Linked DNA regions of Canis lupus familiaris. The protein of the gene in region 2 interacts with the protein of the main gene of each other region in a biochemical or structural test. Links are inferred from orthologs where the notes say so. Each region holds a gene or a part of one and is shown on either strand. Other genes may lie near its edges.

The links.
Region 1: the proteins of NFKB2 (region 2) and BCL3 form a complex in vitro, tested with the Homo sapiens proteins (2 studies listed by BioGRID). The link is inferred for Canis lupus familiaris from reciprocal best matches to the Homo sapiens genes NFKB2 and BCL3.

Annotation. Positions count from the first base shown.
Region 1 is NC_049222.1:111,335,407-111,339,976, forward strand, and holds the start of BCL3 (B-cell lymphoma 3 protein), read right to left. Parts: upstream 2,989-4,570; 5' UTR 2,974-2,988; coding exon 2,718-2,973; intron 980-2,717; coding exon 826-979; intron 348-825; exon of another isoform or gene 1-347. UniProt on the Homo sapiens protein: Contributes to the regulation of transcriptional activation of NF-kappa-B target genes. In the cytoplasm, inhibits the nuclear translocation of the NF-kappa-B p50 subunit.
Region 2 is NC_049249.1:15,092,049-15,096,537, forward strand, and holds the start of NFKB2 (nuclear factor NF-kappa-B p100 subunit), read left to right. Parts: upstream 1-1,418; 5' UTR 1,419-1,573; intron 1,574-2,831; 5' UTR 2,832-2,905; coding exon 2,906-2,926; intron 2,927-3,202; coding exon 3,203-3,284; intron 3,285-3,398; coding exon 3,399-3,439; intron 3,440-3,704; coding exon 3,705-3,803; intron 3,804-3,882; coding exon 3,883-4,034; intron 4,035-4,266; coding exon 4,267-4,373; intron 4,374-4,465; coding exon 4,466-4,489. UniProt on the Homo sapiens protein: NF-kappa-B is a pleiotropic transcription factor present in almost all cell types and is the endpoint of a series of signal transduction events that are initiated by a vast array of stimuli related to many biological processes such as inflammation, immunity, differentiation, cell growth, tumorigenesis and apoptosis.

The DNA.
Region 1 (4,570 bases), on a different chromosome or scaffold from region 2:
CAATCGACTGACCTCTGACCCTGAAACAGTGGAAGAGTCTAGAATAGAAAATACAAAGTAGATCCCATCTATTAAGGGGGTCTCTTGTTCTGCGCAATTTTTACTCCTATGTGTGTACGTGTGCTGGGTTTAACATAAAGTATATAATAGCAATGATATTAATTAATCAGTACTTACTGAGTTCTTATAACCTACCAGGCTTAGTGCTAAGAGCTTAACATGTATAATTCATATATAACAAATCAATCAATGAAATATCTTTCTCCTGTTTGGAGTTTTAAAAAGAATTTTGGGGTATATTTGGGTACCTTTGATTATTTTATTTTTTAAAAATCATCCCCAGGACGCCTGGGTGGCTTAGTGGTTGATCGTCTGCCTTCCGCTCAGGGTGTGATCCCAGGATCGGGGATCAAGTCCCATGTCTGGCTCCTTGCATGGAGTCGGCTTCACCCTCTGCCTTTGTCTCTGTGTCTCTCTGTGTCTCTCTGTGTCTCTCTCTGTCTCTGTCTCTCATGAATAAATAAGTAAATAAATAAATAAATAAATCTTAAAAAAAAAGTCATCCCCATACCCAATGTGGGGCTTGAACTCACAACCCTGGGATCAAGAGTTGCATGTTCTATCGACGGAGCCAGCCGGGCGCCCCTCTCATGCTTGGATTTGGATAAAAATTTTGTAGCTGCCTGCTTCAAAAACAGTCCTAGGAGGTAAGTGCTCAGGTTGCCCATTTTTCAGAGAGGAAGCTGAGTGCCCCTGTGTGGTGGTGGGTGAGGTGGGCGGAGGGCTGGCTCTTCCATTTATGGGGGGGGGGGGGGCTTTACTCACGTGTCTCCGTCCTCATCTGCATGGGTGGCCACAGCGATGTCAGCCGACAAGGGATGTTCCATGGAGTACACCATGGAGTACAGGGGTGTAGGCAGGTTCAGGAGAGGGAAGAGGGAGCCCATATTCGGGGTGGGGTATATGGGAAGTAAAGGTCCTGGACAGAAGGAAGGACAAGGGTGAGGCCAAGCTCACAGACCCTCAACCCGCCCCCTACCTCCAGACCTTCGCTCCTGCTGCCCTGTTTGCTAAGGTCCCTTTTGCATTTCATACCAGGCCCGAAAGGCCCAAGACAAAGTGGCCTTTCACATCCATCTGGGGTCCAGCAGCTTCCCCCTTCACTGTCCTCCGTGAGCCCTGGTCACTGTCATTATCACTTATCTCTTCATGTGTCTGACTCCCCATCTCCTCCTAGGCAGAGTTCCTTAAGGACAGGCCTGAGCCCCATCATCACCCAGCAGGGGGACCTGAGGGCCTGTTTGCCTAGTAAATTTGTGGCTGAGGGAAGTAAGAATGGATGAAACACTGGGTGTTGGGTGACTGTGTAGAGAGTTGGGGAGAAGGGTGGGTGGGTCAGAAGGAGACGAACAATGTCAGATGCCAACCATGGCAGCAGTTGAAGCCATATCCACCCATCACACAGATGGGGAAAACTGAGGCCTGGCTTCTCATGCAGGGAATGGGAAAGAGGAGGCAGTGGCAAGCCTCCTGATGCACACCCTGAGGTTTTCTAACTTGCTCTACTCTGATGGTGTGGAAGGTGCAGGAACTGGGCCAAAGTCTGGAGGCACTAGGCATGGGCTTTCTGCAGCTTTGGGGCCACTCAGGGATGGGTGATGTGGGGACAGCTGTGGTAAGGGATGCCCCTTCCTTGAGATCAGGGATGGAGACAGGGAGAATGCTGTTTGGCCTCCTCTCTCATCTCCTGATCTTTGGGGGCCCCCATTCATGCACCCCCAAGTTTGCAGACCCTTGTATCTCCAGTACCGGGCCTTGGTGTCCTGCAGCTTTTTGCCTGGACACCCCTTAATTCTTCATCCTGACCCTAAATCCTTCACTCCCAGAATCGCCCGGTCCTGCCCCCCATTCCTAGAACCCTCCATTCCCAAGCCTTGACTTTGTGGCCACCTGACTTTGTGACCTCCAATGAGACCTTGAGCCTGTGTGACCATACATAACTGGTGCCCAGGACCCCAGATTCTCTGTCCTGCTGGCTCCTCAGGACCCCTACTATCTGCGTCTGTTTCCTTGGATCCTTGTGATTCCAGATATTGGGGTGCTTAAACTCTGTTCTCCTGATTCCCACCAGTCCCTGAGATCATGGTTCCTGAGATTTTGATGTGCTGACACCTCCCATATCTGACTTCTTAGAACCCGAGTCACTGTTTCTCTGACTTCCTTTGATACCACATACCTGGATGCCAGGAACCCCAGTTTCTTGGGCCAAAGCACTGAGTCTTTATAATCCTCAATATCTGGGTTCTAAAGAGCTTATAACTCTGTGTTCTTGGGACTATAGGCTCTGCCCCCTTGATTCCGCAAGAATCTGTCCCTATCTGTCCTGCTGGGCACTGTCCCCTGGGTCTTCCTATCGTGGCTTTCAGACTGGGCTCTGTCCCCCAGGACCCCCTGACACCCGGTGTCCTGGGACCCCCATATCTATGTCGGAAGGCACTGCTCCCTGAGGTTCCCATGACCGTGTCCCCGGGACCTCAGGCCCTGCTCCCTCGCAGCTCCCCAGAGCCCGAGGTCCTTGGGACCTTGGATTCCGTCGCCCCTGTTTCTCAGCTCCCTGGGGAGCCCCTGTATTTGCATCCTGATCTCTGTTGCCTGGCTCTGGTGACCCTGCGCCCTGTCTGACCCCCACCTGGCCCGGACCCGTGGGAGCCACTCACCCTGGTAGTAAAGCGCCTCTGGCCGGGCCAGTCCGTGGGGGGCCGCGGGGACCGCCGGGGAGTCGGGGCCGCCGCCCAGGGGATCCGGGCCGACTACTGGGCCCGCGGCGCCGCGGGGGGCGGCGGGTTCCGGGGAGGGCTCGCGCAGAGGGCGCTTGCGGAGCGGCAGCGCGGCGCCCGGGGGCCCGGCGGCCTTGGGCCGGGTGCGCAGGTCCACGGGCCCCTCGTCCATGGCCCCCGCGGGGCATCGGGGCATGGGGCCGCCGGAGACGGCGGCCGAGCGGGCGGCCGGAGCGCTGCTCGGCTCGGCGGCACCGGAGGGTGGCTGCGCCGGGCGCCGGGACTTCCCCTGCCGCCGGCTGAACTGAAGGGACTTTTGTCGGCCGGGGCGGTGCCGGTCGCCCGCCTCCCCGCCCCCGGCCCCCCCGGGGCCACCCGTCCGCCCCAGGGGTTTCCTGGACCCGCCGCCGCTCCCGCCGCCCCGCGGTGCTGCCCTCCGAGCGTCCCGCCCGCGCCGCGCCCCGCGCCCGCCCCCTCCCGACCCGCGGCGCCCCCGGCGGCTGGGCCCCGGCGCTGGTGGGGGGGCAGGGGGCGGGGTCGGGGGCCGGGGTCCCCACCCTTGCGGCTGCGGGCCTCTCGCGGGCGCTGCCTCAGTGTTTTGCTCTTTCTGGCTACTTGTCTCTATCTCTGTAGCTCTGTATCTGGGTCTCTGCGGGCTGGAGACGTGTCTTTCTGGGTCTCTCGCTCTGTCTCTCTGTCCTCTGTGCCTCTCACCATCTCTCTCTGTCTCCTGTCTCCTGTCTCCTGGGTACGGTCTGATCTCAGCTTCTCCCACAGGGAGGGGTTCCAGGAGGCCCCGGGCTCACTAGGACGCGGGTTCGAGTCCCGACTCCCACTTCCTCGCCGGGGTGACCTTGACCAGGCACTTCCCTCCGCCGAGCCGTTTCCTCCTTTGCGGGAGGAAAAAGACGCACCCAGGTCAGGGACTGCCCTCGGCAGGCGCCCAGCAGCGCGGACGGTAGTGCCTGCCATCCCTCTGCCTGCCCTGTCGCCATCCCGGCCTCCTCCGTGTGGCCCAGCCGTGCGTCAGAACTTCGCTTCAGGGGATGGGGTGCACAGTGGGTCTCGGCCTGAAGGGCCCCTCTACCCAGCTCGAGCTTCTGGGCGAAGAGATCGATCGGGAGAGACCCGGGGAGGGAGAGACGAGGAAGACAGCAAGGGACGTGGAGACGCGGCGCAGAGTCCGGGCTACGGGGCCCGGGGTGCGGGGTGGGGTGGGGTGGGGTGGGGTGGGGTGGGGTGGGCGGTCTGGCTGCCCCTTCCCCCCCACGTTCCCCTCCCCTCCGGGCGGGCTTGGTGGGTGGGGAACAGGCCGGGCGGGTTGGGGGCATGACTCAGAGGCCGCCCGGAGCTGGGGGGCGGGGCGGGGCGGGCCTTCCCCGAGGCCCCGCCCCCGCCCCTTCTCTCCGCCCCGGGGAGGGGCCGCCTCGGCGCGGGGCTTTCCCGGATTTCCCTTGGGGCGGGGCCGTCGCTGGGGTTGAGTCCGGGTCACTGAGTTACGGGAGGCCAAGGGGGAGGCTTTGGGGATTTAGGGGGGGGCGCGGAGGAATGGGGGCCGCACTACGGATCTGTCCAGGGGGCACACAGGCCCCCCGGGTCTTTTAGCGCCCCCCGTATCTGCAACGCTGTCCCTCCATCCCCGCCTCCGGCCCCGCCCCCATCTCTTTTTGTCTCCCGATCTCTGCCTGTGTCTCTGGGCCCCTGAAAGTCGGTGTGGGGCCCCGGCCCCCCGGGAAGGGACTTTGCCCAGGACTCGAGCCCCGCCCCAAGTGGATCGTTAACCCGGGATGTGA
Region 2 (4,489 bases):
GATCTCTGCATTCTGAGATAGAGCTCGGCATAGGGCTCCCTGCTCAGCCGGGAGCCTGCTTCTCCCTCTCCTTCTGCTCCCCTCCTGCCAGTGGTCTCACTCTCTCTCTCAAATGAATTAAAAAAAAAAAAATCTTGGGGATCCCTGGGTGGCTCAGTGGTTTGGCGCCTGCCTTTGGCCCAGGGCGTGATCCTGGAGCCCTGGAGCCCTGGAGCCCCAGGATCGAGTCCCACGTCGGGCTCCCGGCATGGAGCCTGCTTGTCCCTCCCAATGCCTCTCTCTCTCTCTCTCTATGTCTATCATAAATAAATAAATCTTTTTTAAAAAATCTTTAAAAAAAAAAAAAGGTCACGGGCAAATTGCTTGAAAAATCAAACAGGGCAGCCCAGGTGGCTCAACGGTTTAGTGCCGACTTCGGCCCACGGCCTGATCTTGGAGACTCGGGATCGAGTCCCATGTCGGGCTCCCTGCATGGAGCCTGCTTCTCCCTCTGTCTGTGTCTCTGCCTCTCTCTCTCTCTCATAAATAAATTAAAAATCTTAAAAAAAAAAAAAACTGAAACAAAAGCCTGTGTTCTACCAGGACTCCACCTATCACAGATATTCAGCCTCAGAGTCAGTATTTTATGAAGTCCAGTGCTGATCTTGTTGCCACTGAAAGTGTTCAAGCGGGGTTGGAAGCTCTATAAAAGGTTATTTCCTACATTGGAGGAAGTTCGAACCGTTTAAGATTTTGGATGCCTTTTCAATTCTAATATTCCAAATCTCCGTGATGGATGAGCAAGATCTGAGTCTCCAAGATGAACACCTCATTTACCTTCCCTGGCGCAGAGAGCCGGAGCTCAGATCTAGAAGTCTCCCTCTGTGACCTTGCCATTTATACAATAAGTTTCAGGTTCAGATGCTCTCTTCGAAGGGAGACGGAGTTGAGACAACACGAGAGGATTACCGAGTCTCCGTGCGCCTCCACCAGGGGCCGCCAGATGGCGCCCCGGGACCAACTGCGAGATCAACTTCCTTCCTCTTCCCCCAACTCTTCCCGGCAGCGGGGGCCCCGCTCCGGGCTGGGGACCCGAGGCCTGGGGCCCCCCAGCTTCCCTCTGGGGTTCCCCGGCTTCAGAAGTGGGCAAGAGTTAGGCGCAGCATGAGCCGAGTAGCAGCAGGGACTGCCAGCTGTCTGGGGGCTGGCGGGGCGGGTAAAGAGACCGGAGCCGGGGCCCTTGGCCGGGAGATGGCGCCCGGTCAGCGAATCCAGCCTGCGACAGGTCCCCCTGCCAGAGCCCTAGCAGTAGCGGCCCGTCATCCTACCTCCCGACTCCTCCGCCTGAGCTAGTATCTCCCCTCTAGGGGCGTGCGTGAGTCGCTCCGGATTGGCTGCACGAGTCCGGAGTTAAACTTTCAGCCAATGAAAAAGGGCACGGGGCGTGACGCACGGAAACGTCACGGGAATTCCCCCCTCCCGGGGGTGGAAAAGGGGCTTTCCCGGCTGGAGCCTGGGTGGCTGTGGAGAAGTGTCGCGACCCGTCCGAGGTGGGTCGGGCCGGAGAGAAGCCGGAACCGGAGCCGCCGCCGCGGTGAGTGGCCGGGACACGGGGAAGGGCGGAAGGAGGGCCCTTAACTAACCGAGGCTCAGGGCTGGAGAGCGGTATCTGCAAGCACACACAGGACGCACACGAACAAGACGTACGGATACTCATCGACATCCTTGTACAAAAAAACAAAACAAAACACGCGGACCCATACGTGCACCTACGCGTATGCGAACGAGTGCACAGCACTGTCCATGCATTCAGACTCGCGCACACGCAAACATGCTCACCCGTGCACAGGTGCCTGGACCCATATCCTTCACGCACGAACTCCTATGTTCACCTGTGCCCTTACATATCAAAACACGCTCAGACGCGTCCACACTGAGAAGTTCACAGACGCTCACCTGCACACAGCCTTGCTCACTGGTACATGCATACTGACACCACGCAAGCACATGGGACGACGCACACTATGCCTGTGATACACACACACGGCCATGGGCCTGGGGCAGGGGGCGTGGGCACCCGGAGCAGGTGCGGTGTGGGAACCCAATGACTGCTGAGATGTTTCGGGGAGAGGCAACAGAAGGGCCCGTCCCAAGAAGGAGACCCTGTTCCTCCCCCCGCCCCACGGCCCCAGAGTCCGTTCTCGGGGCAGAACCCCGGGGGCCCCCGCTGGGAAGAGCCCCCGCCTACAGGCCTTCGGAAAGGAGGCCTTCCTACAGCAGGAATGTCCCCCCAAAAGCCCCCGGGTGAATCAGCCGTGGCCTCCCTCAGGGTAGAAAATCCCAAGGTTGCTCCAGGACAGGGGAGGGGGAGGGGGCGGGAGGCGGGCCTCGCCCCGACCTAAGAGCGTCCCCCACCTTTGAAAGGCCCTCCAGCCCCCCGCACCTGCCCTGGGACGAGGAAGGGGGCCCAATCACCAGGGGCGCCTCCCTGGGTCTGGCTGCCCCTCTGCCCTCAGAGCCGCTGCAAGCTCGGAGGCCGCCGCCGACCTCGCGCCCCTCCCGCCGCGGGGGCGGGGCCAGTGGCGTCATTTCCAGGCCCGCCCCCTCCGGCCCCGCCTCCCCCTGGTATTTTCGGGACTTTCCTAAGCTGTTCTAACTTTCCTGCCGCTTCCCCGGCCCTGCCCAGCCCAGCTCCGGATCTCGCGCTCTGCCGGATCTCGCCCGCCACACCCGGACGGGTGGCTGGAAGAGATCAGACCCTCCCCCAAATCTGGGGCCCACTCGCCCCCCCCTCGTGTCCTGATCTGTCTCTCCCTCCCACCCCCCGTCACTCCCCCCCGCCCCCACCTAAGGCGGGCGCCTGAAACACTCTGGGAAACAGAACCTGGCCGGAGCCACCAGACAGAGCCGGGCCTAGCCCAGAGACATGGAAAGTTGCTACGACCCAGTGAGTCACGCCTCCTGGCCCTAAAACCGGCCGGCTGCCCCCCATGTCTGTCTGTCTGTCTGCCTGTCTGTCGGAGTCCCCTCTGCCCCCCTACACCTGTAATGCCCTCTGATTATCTCAACCTGCTTGTCAGTCTGCCTGCCTGTCTGCAAACTTTTTCCAAGAGGAGCTTTTTATGGGTCTGGGGAGGAAAGGGAGTGGCTACCCAGGGCTGGGAAGTGGAAGGCTCTCCGGTGTCTCAGATTCAGTTGCCACCCTAATCTGTTTCCAAACCAGGGTCTGGATGGCATGATTGAATATGATGATTTCAAATTCGACCCGTGCATTGCAGAGCCCAAGGAGCCAGCCCCAGAGACAGGTTAGTGAGTTCCTTAGCTCCCCTTGTCCTAGAGAGGGGGGAGGGAGGAGCATGTGCCCTCTGACTGGGGGATGGCCCTGAAATCCTGGCTCAGCAAGGCCCCTTTGTCCCCAGCTGATGGACCCTACTTGGTGATAGTCGAACAGCCTAAGCAGGTGAGTGAATGGAAGGGATGGTGTGGGAGGACTTCGGCTGTAGGGACCAGTGGGGTAGTTGTAGTTGGGTGGCCATGGGGAGGGTCACTGATCACGGAGGCCACTTCGGGTTGAAACGGCTGACTGCTACTGATCACAATGGAGGTGTTGTGGTTCAGGAGAGACACTGCCAATTGTGGTCACTGATGGCTGGGAGTGTGACTGGCTTGGGGGGAAAAGAGGGGTCCCTCCTGTTCACATTGTCAATCTGCCCTGGGACGTTCAGCGAGGCTTCCGATTTCGATATGGCTGTGAAGGCCCCTCCCATGGAGGATTGCCAGGGGCTTCCAGTGAGAAGGGTCGGAAGACTTATCCCACAGTCAAGGTGAGTCAGGATGGTGCTGGATGGAGGGTGGGCTAACAGTGTGTTCAGGAGCATTACTGACAACCCTCACCCCTCCCAGATCTGTAACTACGAGGGACCAGCCAAGATTGAGGTGGACCTGGTAACGCACAGTGACCCACCTCGCGCTCATGCCCACAGCCTGGTGGGCAAGCAATGCTCGGAGCTGGGGGTCTGCGCCGTGTCTGTGGGGCCCAAGGACATGACTGCCCAGTAGGTGCCCCCTCATTGCCTCCCAGTCCTAGGCCCCAGCCTGCCTCTGTGAGTTTAGCATCTGACCAAGGAGAGAGACAGGTTGGCCTCAGAACCCCAGGCCCCAAGTGAAAACCAGGAAGGCTTCCTGGAGGAATGAGGGCTGAGCTGAGGCCTGGCAGTAGAGAGGGTGCCTCAGGAGGAAAGAACTGCCTACAAAGCTTCTGACTCCTCCGCCCCCTCCCCCACCCAGATTTAACAACCTGGGCGTCCTGCATGTGACCAAGAAGAACATGATGGAGATTATGATACAAAAACTTCAGAGGCAGCGACTCCGCTCCAGGCCCCAGGGCCTTACTGGTATGGGGGGGAGGAGGGGTCATGGGAGGTGTTCATGGAAGGAGTAGAGGAGGAGGAGGAGTGCAGGGGTCACATGTATGTCCACTACCCAGAGGCTGAGCGGCGGGAGCTGGAGC